Linked DNA regions of Schizosaccharomyces pombe. Changing the gene in region 1 together with any one later gene gives a genetic interaction. Each region holds a gene or a part of one and is shown in the gene's direction. Other genes may lie near its edges.

Evidence for each region.
Region 2: of SPOM_SPBC16H5.12C (region 1) and gad8, changing one suppresses a phenotype caused by changing the other (phenotypic suppression), as found in Schizosaccharomyces pombe (one study listed by BioGRID).

Annotation. Positions count from the first base shown.
Region 1 is NC_003423.3:2,271,852-2,277,592, forward strand, and holds SPOM_SPBC16H5.12C (uncharacterized protein), read left to right. Parts: upstream 1-2,175; 5' UTR 2,176-2,221; coding exon 2,222-2,233; intron 2,234-2,287; coding exon 2,288-2,450; exon of another isoform or gene 2,451-2,758; coding exon 2,759-2,870; exon of another isoform or gene 2,871-2,929; coding exon 2,930-4,856; 3' UTR 4,857-5,144; downstream 5,145-5,741. Other genes in the region: wdr7 (WDR7-like protein), read right to left, coding at 1-579, 660-925; protein arginine N-methyltransferase Skb1, read left to right, coding at 5,424-5,613, 5,663-5,741.
Region 2 is NC_003421.2:910,470-915,998, forward strand, and holds gad8 (serine/threonine protein kinase (AGC family) Gad8), read left to right. Parts: upstream 1-2,030; 5' UTR 2,031-2,647; coding exon 2,648-2,669; intron 2,670-2,740; coding exon 2,741-4,428; 3' UTR 4,429-4,769; downstream 4,770-5,529. Other genes in the region: SPOM_SPCC24B10.06 (uncharacterized protein), read left to right, coding at 41-164, 379-529, 595-790; SAGA complex subunit Ada2, read right to left, coding at 4,913-5,529. UniProt on the Schizosaccharomyces pombe protein: Involved in a signaling module for sexual development and cell growth under stressed conditions. Required for G1 arrest under nitrogen starvation and for growth at high temperature and osmolarity.

The DNA of each region.
Region 1 (5,741 bases):
GAATACTTAGAAATTAATTCGAAATGAGGTTCAGGAGATTGATGAAGTTTGAGTAAAGTTGAAGACGAAAGAGTAAAAATACAAGCCGTGCCATCAGCCAAAACAAATACAGATGTTATCTCTGCAAGTGAATATGAAGCTATAAATTTCTCATGCGATTCCAATAGTACTACCGCATCCGAGTATACATATAGCGCATAATTGGAAGAAATGCAATCTGCTGGTACAACATCAATAACCTTACCAAAAGTTGGTTTAACATCTGCTTTTGTAACTGAATTTCTTTTAAAAGTAAGAGCTGACCAATCAACTGACCAAAGAGATACAGATCCATCTGAATAGGCGACAGGGATTAATAAAGCTTCGTCTTTGAACGGAAACAAAATAGGCCAGTCCTCATGACCAGTCCAAGTCGCAACTATCTGAAAGTTGGAGATTCTAATGAGATATATTTTCAAAAAGGTTCCGGTAACAGCAAGAAAGTTGTTATTTAATCTAAATAGCTTTAAACATAGCCCGTCACACAATTGCAAAGTAGCTCGTCGGTCACATGTTTTCAGTAGCCATTGACAAAGTAATCTGAGAAAATGTTAGCAAGAAATAAGTTAAATAATGAATTTGATAATTGCTGCTCGGCTAATGAGAGTTGCTCAACATACCCAGATTCGTCGAGTGTAATGATTGATAGGTCTACAATTCCATCAGCTTCAAATGGAAGGCAAACTATAGAAGAAACGGAATGTTTGTGTGCTATAAATGTTTGGATCAAAGTGAAATGATTGTCTGTAGAAACGTCAAATACCATGACTTGGCCGGAACATTGGCCTACTATCAAATACTGATCAAAACAATGTATTGAAGACACGTCAAGGCCTTCATCTAACAAATGAGTTTTACAGCTTTTCGACAATGCAACCCAATCCATTTTGATTCGCAATCAACAACGGTCTAAGGCTGACATCAATTTTGAACGCTGTTCGAACACGGCTTCCCAAATAACCACTCAATTCAGTAATTGTTAAACCTTTTTAAATATAAAAGTAATTGAAAACGCAGAAAATGAAATTAAAACAATATTTAGGCAGACTAACAGTTGCCGCGATATTCTTGAATGTAAAATTAGCAAATTCGGAACGCAAACGAATAAACAAGATGCAACAAGTATTTGAGGAAGAGAATCTAAGAAAAATGAAGAACTTGCAACAGCCATAGACAAGAATGTCTAACAAATAGCCATGTAAACAATTCGTCCATCCGTCATTTAATAGAATGTATGCATCGACAGCTCCGATTGTATCAATCATTACATAAATCTCTTCATTCTTGAATTATATACAACTTACACTTCTCCAAAATTTATACCACTGCACACAACTTCGAATTCCACTCGGTGGTGGGAATGTGCTGCTGTGCTACTTGAAGCACGCGAATACTATATGACCTAGTTGATGGGGCGATGCCCTTGCTTCCAAATCTTGACAATACTTAGTAGTAAGAATACAGCGTACAAACGAGTTTAAGTTATAGTAAACGAGCATTATTTAATAACACAAAAGAGTATTGTTGTACATAGAAAAAAACCGAAAAAATTGCTAACAGTCTTATTTTATTCAATTTGCCAAATAAACAGAACATTTACATACTTCAAATGTTGTAAATTTCGCACTGCAACTAGTATTCAAATCTCAACCTGGAAAAACGATATAACGAAATTGAAATATACTTCAGACTGTAGCATCATCTACTGTACACGAGGCAAACTTAAGTCATAGTATGTGTAAAATAAGTTAACAATTCCATTCCAAAGCTGCAACATTTAACATATACCCTAATAAACTCTGCCGTCCCGATTACCGAGCTTTCTCAAGAATTTTGTAATCCTTCATTGAAGCACCTTTTTTTTTCATATTTATATATAAATATATATATTAATATATACTAAATTTTATTTTTATTTTTATTTTTTGTGGAGTTTTATACTACAGAAATACAATTGTCACGTTAAAAATTTCAAAAACTATCTATTAACTGCTGCTTTTTGTGTATTTATATATTTAATTTACTTTACTTCGTTTGTGGTGGATCTAAGTTATAACATTACGAAGCAACATTCTCTTATTGTAGTAGGAAGTAGTACAGTGCCGAAACTGAGGCATCATCACAAAACCCTTACTCAACACCATTTACTGTTTTATCCGTTTCATTAGATTTTTACGATATAATGAGCGTGGATGTAAGTATAGATCTAATGAATCTTTGCAAAAATTTTAAACTAATTACATAAAAGACGGCTAAAAGTGATATTCAAGCGGAACCTTCAACTGGGACGCTGGAAAATAAATCCTCTAAAACGTACTCAGATTCCGAGAATAATTCCACGTTGGATGTTTCAGCTCAAGTACTCACATTGGATAATAAATCCAGGATCTTATGTATTGCCGATGTTCGAGGTAAGTATGCGTTGTTTATGGATTTAGAGCTGCCAGCGAGAATTCAAAAGCACCCCATCGGGGGAATTATCGACGATCGTTTTACTTTTTAAGATAAGAAGATGCGAATTTGTATGCTTTTGCATGAACTTATCCATAATGGCTTAGCAGGAGTTGAAGCGCAATTGCTCAATTTACTCATTTTGTCATTAAAGATCCTCGTTGGTTCGTAAAAGAATTTTGTCCATACACTTTATTCTCCTTAGCTATTCCTATCCTTAAAATTACTACTCTTTAATACGCGTTTTTACTAATAACTATCCCTTCAGGTGAACTGAGTTTAATAAATAGCCTGGTTGAGGAAACCAATGCCTCCTGTGTCATCCACACTGGTGACTTTGGATTTTTTGAGCGATCCTCACTTCCTAGCATATCTGAACGGTATGTTTTGTGTCAAAAATTTTTATGTTTCATTTTTCTTTGTTCTAACCTTTTTTCAGTACTCTTCGTCACATTGTCCAATTCTCGCCTCTCATAAAAAAGCTTCCTAGGTCCAAAAACTTTGATTATTATCCCTCGAATCCAATTGGGGATTTGAAGAATAGTATTGCTTCTCACCCCGATTGCCTGCTTTCAGAATTACCTCAATTTTTGTCACAAGAGAAGAAATTCTCAGTCCCTGTATATGTAGTATGGGGAGCTTGCGAAGATGTGCACGTTTTGGAAAAATTTCGTTCTGGAGAATATTCTATTCCAAACCTTAACATAGTGGACGAACTTCATTCCTACCTATTGCAAATTGGAGATATGAAAATCCGTTTACTTGGTCTTGGAGGTCCTTATGTCCCTTTTAAGCTTTTTGACAATGGAGACGGTAAAGGAACTATTGCTGGTGGCCAGGGTACTATGTGGACTACAATCCTTCAAATGGGTGAACTAATAGAAACCGCTAAGAGCCTGCTTGACAGAGAGGAGGCACGTATTTTTATTACGCATCATCCCATTGGAAGAGAAGGTGTTCTTTCTCAATTAGCTACTGCTTGCCAGGCTGACCTGACTTTATCCGCCGGTCTTCATTTTCGTTATGGAGCTAGCTACAATGAGTTTTGCGTAAATCATAGTCCTGAACATTATCTTCAAAAACTTTCGGCTGCCCGTGCACAGTTTATGGAAGTGTATGACACTGTTAAGGCTGAGGTTGAGAAGATGGTTACCCCTGAACAACATCATCTAATAAACAATGTTGTTCGCCTAGTCTCTCGCATGCCCGATGCAACTAACTCATATGCTATGAATAACATGCTTCCCGGCACTGCTTTTAAAAACCTATGGAACTTCAATTTATTAGATGCTTCCTTTGGATGGACTGTTTTTGTCGTCGAAAATGGGCATGTTCAAGTGGAAAGCAAATCTCATGGCTTTAATTTAGGCTATCGTCGCATGGCTTCACGTCGTAACGAAAATTATGCATCTCACATTCCACGCTCAACTTCGGAAAATACCGGTACCTATTATTACGCTAACAATAGGTTGGTGGAATCTCAAGCACAGTTTACCAAGAACAGAGAAGCTACGGCTACACCAACCGAAGAAGAACAGATTGAAGGGTACGATCAGGAACATACTGATGAGCTAGGAATGTCAAGAGCGAATACTACAGAAGAGTCGGCTGAGACTCATGAAGTAATCGAAGAGAAGTCGGGACCACCTGCTGCCGAGGAAGAACCCATTTCTGGCGTAGCAGAGAAGCCTAGTCCTAATGAAGAAGAACAACCAGCAATTGGAGGGAAAGAGGAAGTTGACGTTGAAGAGGTGACTAAGGGTACTGGAAATCTCGAGCTAGGTGAGACGACTACAGAGGTTACCATACTTGAACAAGAGAATGCTGCAAATGTTACAAGATCTCAAGCACAAGAAGGTAGAAGAACTGATATGCAGAAGGGCAACGATCGTGAATTCCGTCAATATAGTGGTGAGCAGCGTTATGAACGTTGTGGATTTCATATTACCCCTTGCAATTCTGAAGAGGAAGCCCGTTCTTACTTTAAGGACGGGACAGACAGCCTGATTACGAATATTCAAATTCGTACTTCACTCAATCGTTACAAAAGTCCCCAAGCTCCTCAAAACGTAAACCCCACTAACTATGCATATGTATTTGTTGAAAACCAGAATGCTGTTTCAAAGGCCCTTGGAAGCATCAAAGTTCCAGAAGGTGTGCGGGTGAATATCATGCGTGATGATTCGTACTATCGTCAAAATAGAGGATGGTATCGAAATAACCGGATGGAGGGACATGGAACTGGAATGCGTACCAATCGTGGACGTGGACGAGGCGGCCGAATGAACAGAATGCAGCATCCTCGTCCATTACAAAGCGGTGGAAGTGTCAATAAACAAAGCGCTGAACCTACTACCCATGGTTAATGATGAATATTTTTTGCACTGTTTTCAATGCTGTTTTAGAACTGATTTTTATACCATCTTTTCACCTTTTTACTGATGTTAATGCAAAAGTTTACCTCATGAATGATGAAGTTTTCATGAAATTTATCTGACGCACTCATTTACCTCAATAACTGCGAAGCCAAAATAACTGATATGACTCTTTTAAGATATCTTTTTCGAATTCGGTTGTCATTGACAAAAGGGTGCTTACTTTACTTTCTTTCATATCGACTTTGTTTAGAAATAATAAAGTGATTTTTGACAAGATTGATTCGCAGAAAACTATATAGTAAAAATAATTAATTACTTTATGCTAGAATAGCAGTTATTAGCCTTTTCTTCTTAGAAAAGATGTAAGTTTTAATAGATCAAATTCATTAATTAAATAACCAAGTTGAAATTTAAAACACTCACAAACAATAAGCTAGCTACTCAACTAAACAATTTTTTTTTGTTTTTGCAACACAAGGTCCCAACCCTTACCGTATGTTATTGCGGGATGGCCGTATTCCACAGTACAGTATTTACCCATTGCCAGTTCCGCCGATGAATTCTAAAACGCCCACTCTAGGAATAGTTTGTTCAGAGGGGACCATTTCCTTGTCTTTGGAAGAGGGTTTTGAGTTTGTTGGAGTTCCGTTAAGTGGTGAAGGTTTAAAGCTACGAGTTGAAGCTCTAGCTCCGTCAGAGCGTTTGCAGGAATTCCTCGACGATGAAGTAGCTTATCACCCTGAGGGTATGTTTCAAATTTGAAAGAAAATTTATATTAACCAATTTTACTATAGAAAATGTGCACAAGGTGGTCGGTTTATCCTCAGCTTGGCTGGAGTTAGATTCTGAAGACACACTAATCGCTGATCGATC
Region 2 (5,529 bases), on another chromosome or scaffold:
ATCTAGTGCTTAAAAGCTGTACTTCTTATCCATTTGCAAAATGTTTGGAAAAGTTTCATCGCTTTTGGTTTTTGCTTCATTCTTGATCATTCAGGGTGCTTTCGCTACTTTGGTGGCTCCCATTGGAGATCTCGAGCATTTATCTGAAATTGAATTGCTCTACAGTAAGTACATTGAGGCTATGTAAAAAGTTTGCTGTCCATCCAACTCGTGCACTTAATGTTGTATAATGTCGTAGACCGAGTTTTTGTCATTTAATCATTGTTTAAATATTTTAATATTTAAACTTTGGTATTCTTTTTACATCCCTTCTCTATTCTCTATGTCTCTGTCTTTATATTTTGTGACTATGTGAAATAGCTAACTCAGTATATTTAGCTAATCGTGTTTTGCCCTCAAAAATTCCTTTGACCCCATTTGTTAAGAGGGATGATGATTCTAGTTCAACTCAGGCAAGTTACTCTACTACTGTGAGCGATGTTGTGATTGTCACCGACAAATCTTGGTCGGATGGTGTAGAAACCATTTTGTAAGTCATGCTTGTCATTTTATGGAAACTATTTGTTTGTGTAAAATTACTAATATTATTTTTAGTCCTTATAGTTACACCGAATATCAACCATCTACTACTTACACTTCTGCACCTGCCGGATCCATTGGATACGCAGCATCCATTCCCAATACAGGGCGCGAATTGATGGAGAGTGGGTCCCCTGTCCGGTTTTCCAAGAGTTCATTATTGATTGTTTCACTCTTGAGCATTGCTGCTTTTGCCGCTTTAGTCCTTTAAAAATTCAACCGGAACCTACCCCCTAACATTCACCTGAAAATTTCTCTTTAGGGATTTTCTAAACTTAGATATAGTTTTTGATTCTACTTTACTCTTTTAAAATTTTTGTTGCTACTTACACTGTCAATTCTATATCTGCGCTCGATAACCGGTTTCTTTTTTTAGGCGCTTTGGCAAACTCGTCTCATCCCTTTAAATAAAACACACAAAGGGAGCTCTCTGTGAGAAAATTCAAAACTCTGAAGAAACATCGCTTTTACTAGTGAGGAGCCTTCTAGAAGTAACTACGAAAAGAATTTGCTTTTCTCATGGGTAAGTAAGGGTTTGCCTACAGTTGAGTGAGTCATCAGTTTCAACAAATTTCGTTCTTTTCATAAATTCATTGTTCATGTTTTATTTCTGTTTTATATGTTATTTTATTTTATTTTATTTGAAAATGTTTTTTGTTTTTCAGTTCTCTTTGGATTTATATACACTTTGAAGGACTTGTACGAAGCGTCCAGTGTATTAAAAGTAGAGCATTGGTATACAAATTGCTTTTCCGTTAAATTGCTTTATCTTTTTTTTTCGCTTGTTGCACAAGGAACTGAAATTTTACAAAACGCATCGTACTTGGAAGTTGCAAAAATCTGATGGAAGGCATAAATAAATGACTTGTTTTGTAAAGAGGATATTGCAATCCTAACGGTGGTATTTACATGCTTCTATAATTATTTTAAAACAAATAAAGTTAATTGGTCTGCTAAGCTACACATACGCGTAAACGGCATTTTGCGTTTGTCCGCAGATAATTGTCAAGATAATTATTTGTATTGTTTTGCTATATACTTCGTTTTGTAAATTGATCCATTTGAGTGCTGTTTCTTGACACGTGTAGTATAAATCCTATGTTTCAATTTAGGTCACTACAAACTTGAGCAAGTTACCACTTACAAGAGTACACCAGCACTTTTAATTTCTCTATATTAATATTCCATCTTTTTGACATTACTAAGTTAACTAATTTAATAGCTGATATGTAAAACACCATTGCAAAGAACTTTTATATATAGTGCAATCGTACGAGAAAAGGGTCTATAATTTTTGATCATTATACGACAAACCTGCGTAATGTGCCGACCGTATCGGTAGCTCTCCTTATAATATTTTATCGAACTCACGTTGTTCTGCCGCAAAAAGCTGCTGTCTTGTACCACTTGTATTTTAGGAATACGGATGATCCGAGCTGGCCACATCTACTGACTGCCAATACGACCTAACAAAGGGAATATCAAACGAAAGCATTTTTGACATCAAATTTTATTTCATTGACTTTAACGTATTTAGTGCTGTCGATTGGTTTCAATTTCGTCAAAATTTCCGCGAGGTGAAGGCGACTTTGCTCAAAGTCGTAATACCAAAATCGGCTTAGAAATCGACTTTATCAACGAAGCATTCCTTTAGTAGGGATTTTGGAATAAAAGAGATTGCGATTTATTTTGAATTTTAAAATCAACACCCTTGCTTACTACTTATCGGGATTAGATTTCTTTGACGAATTTACTACTATACTGACATTACCAAACGCCTGTATCCCCTTTCGTTTATTCAAAAAAAATTGCAACTTGTGCTTACTTTTTATTTTATTTTTTTTTTGGATTTGATTTGATTGTTCGTTCGTATTCGCTTACTGGTACACTTCCCGTTTTTGTCTTCGAATTAGTCCATAAATACGTTTTTTGTTAGATTGAAGCTTTTTTGCAGCCTCGTTACCTTATTCTTTATCATTTTCGTTATATTAAAAGAAAAGATAGAGGGAAAGCGAGCTTTTAAAAATCAGTTCATTTTTTTTTTCTACTCCAAACAGACGTTACCGAAATGTCCTGGAAACTTACAAAGAGTATGTATTCCATAATACGGGTTATCACACTCTGTCTTTCTTTTTCATACTAACAGCTTTTCGCTTTTTAGAATTAAAAGAAACTCATCTAGCATCCGCTATTGGCCTGAACTCTGGCGGCTCTAGTTTTACTAGAGGTCTGAAAAACAGTACTTTATCCTCTACTTCTTCTCGTAAATCAAGTGATGAAAAATCTCGGAAAAGCTCGGAGGATAAACGGTCTCCCCAAAGTACCGTCGTGCAGCCTGGTTTATTGCAGGTCACAATTATAGAAGCTAGAAATTTAAAATTACCGTCGGGACATGTTCCTGCCAACTACGGGGTTTCCATTGACAATTCTTTACTTGCCCCTCCACTTAGTAATGGCTCGGGACACGCAAGGTCTCGTAGTCATGCTTGGTGGTTACCTTATATCGTCGTTGAATTCGACAAAAATGAAATCTTAGTAGATGCTCTAAATACTGCAAGCCTTGAAAATCCTTGCTGGGATTATCAGGCAACTTTTGACGTTTCCCGTTATTCCAAACTCTCCCTGAATATTTACCTTCGTTCTTCATCCAGCCGCTCGCGCAACGGTATGGGGAATGACGCTTTCCTAGGCGGGATTAAACTGTCGCCTTCTTTCATTGTAAACAAGCTTACAGACGAATGGGTACCCCTGCATGGGGGTAGCGGTGAACTTCGTGTTCAAATGCTTTACAAACCCAATCAAAGTACCCCTTTAACCATTGATGCATTTGAACTATTGAAAGTGGTTGGCAAAGGCTCTTTTGGAAAAGTCATGCAAGTGCGTAAGCGTGACACTTCTCGTATCTATGCTTTAAAAACTATGAAAAAAGCCCACATTGTATCTCGCAGTGAAGTAGATCACACATTGGCTGAGAGGACAGTACTTGCTCAAGTTAATAACCCTTTTATTGTTCCATTAAAGTTCTCCTTTCAATCTCCCGGTAAGCTGTATCTTGTCCTGGCCTTTGTTAACGGTGGTGAGTTATTTCATCACTTACAAAGAGAAGGCTGTTTTGATACATATCGTGCCAAATTTTACATTGCTGAACTACTTGTTGCTTTGGAATGTTTGCATGAGTTCAACGTTATTTATCGAGACTTAAAACCGGAAAACATATTATTAGACTACACCGGTCATATTGCTTTGTGTGATTTTGGACTTTGTAAGCTAAACATGGCTAAAACCGATAGAACGAATACTTTTTGTGGCACCCCTGAATACCTCGCTCCTGAATTGCTTTTGGGTCATGGTTATACAAAAGTTGTTGACTGGTGGACTTTAGGTGTGCTACTTTACGAAATGATTACAGGACTTCCTCCTTTTTATGATGAAAATATAAACGAAATGTACCGAAAAATTCTTCAAGATCCCTTGCGATTCCCAGACAACATTGACGAGAAAGCAAAAGATTTATTGAGTGGATTGTTGACCCGCGCTCCAGAGAAGCGGCTGGGTAGTGGAGGGGCGCAAGAAATAAAAAATCACCCTTTCTTTGATGATATCGACTGGAAAAAGTTATGCGCCAAGAAGATACAGCCACCCTTTAAACCAAGCGTTGAATCAGCTATCGATACTAGTAATTTTGATTCTGAATTTACATCGGAAATCCCAATGGATAGTGTTGTTGCCGATTCTCACTTATCTGAAACCGTTCAACAAAGGTTTGCCAATTGGAGCTATCAACGACCAACAACCATTGATACATCCGACGACATTAATACAATAGCACCTGGAAGTGTCATTAGGTGATGAATTTGACACTTCTTTGTTTATTTTGAAAGTTTTCTCATTTTTACTCATACATGCCGCTTTTCTTGCCTCTTTTACATATTTGTATGTTATAAAGGCCAAAGCTTCGTTCATTTCTCATTATTGTCATCTTTTTTTGTCGTACAAGATCATTTTCTATTACTATTATTATTATCATTATTATTATTATTATTACTGACAACCTCAAGTCTTTGAAGATTATTTATTTTTTGTCAGCTGAGAAAAAGTCTCAGATATTGTTGGATGTAGTGTTTTTTGTTCTTGTAGTTTCCGAAATTACTAGTGTAGAAAATTGATGGAAAACTCTTTTTAATTATTAAGCATAAGAACGTAACGGCTATTGAAAAGGGAAAAAAAGACGGAGATGTAATTAAAGGTGAAGGGGTAATTAGTAAAATTACATTTCAAAACGTAAAGGTAATAAACAAGAGTAATATGAAAAAGGTAAAAGAAACCAGTACTTTTAGGTTGGAGCGCCAATCCACCGAGCATTATGGAAGAAGTCGTACACCTGTTCGACTTTATTAGCGTCTAAGTGTTTAAATAAATTAACTGCATCGGTTTTTTGAAATGGTTTTTTGGAAGTCAGTGAAGCCGATATTAAGGCAAATTTTAGAGCCAAAAATGGTTTAGGGAAAATCTGCAGTTTTGAGCAAAGCGCTTGCTCATCCTCTGAAAGCAGTTGCCGATCAGCGGAAGCAGAAAACATTGTGGGAGTCGCTGGTTTTCGAGGAACAATCTTTTGAATGTCACGAACTTGAAAAGGAGCGGAAGTGGTTTGGTTAAACGACTTAACATGCCTCAATTGCTTATCATATGAAGCAGAAGCTTTACTTAAGAGGAATTTTTGCGTTTTATCGCGTTCATATTTATGTCCTTGTTCGAGTGTAGTAAGACCCATCTGTCGCCATTCCTGTAAATCAGAAATTTGTTTTTTTAGGGTTATTTGCTCGTGATAGCTGTTCACGAACTTTTGGTAATCAGGGCCCGTCAAAAGTCGAGCAAATGCTTTTGTTTTATTAAGTAAGTTTCGTTCCTCTTTTGACATGCGCTTCTCATTCGCCTGTAGCCGTCGATAAT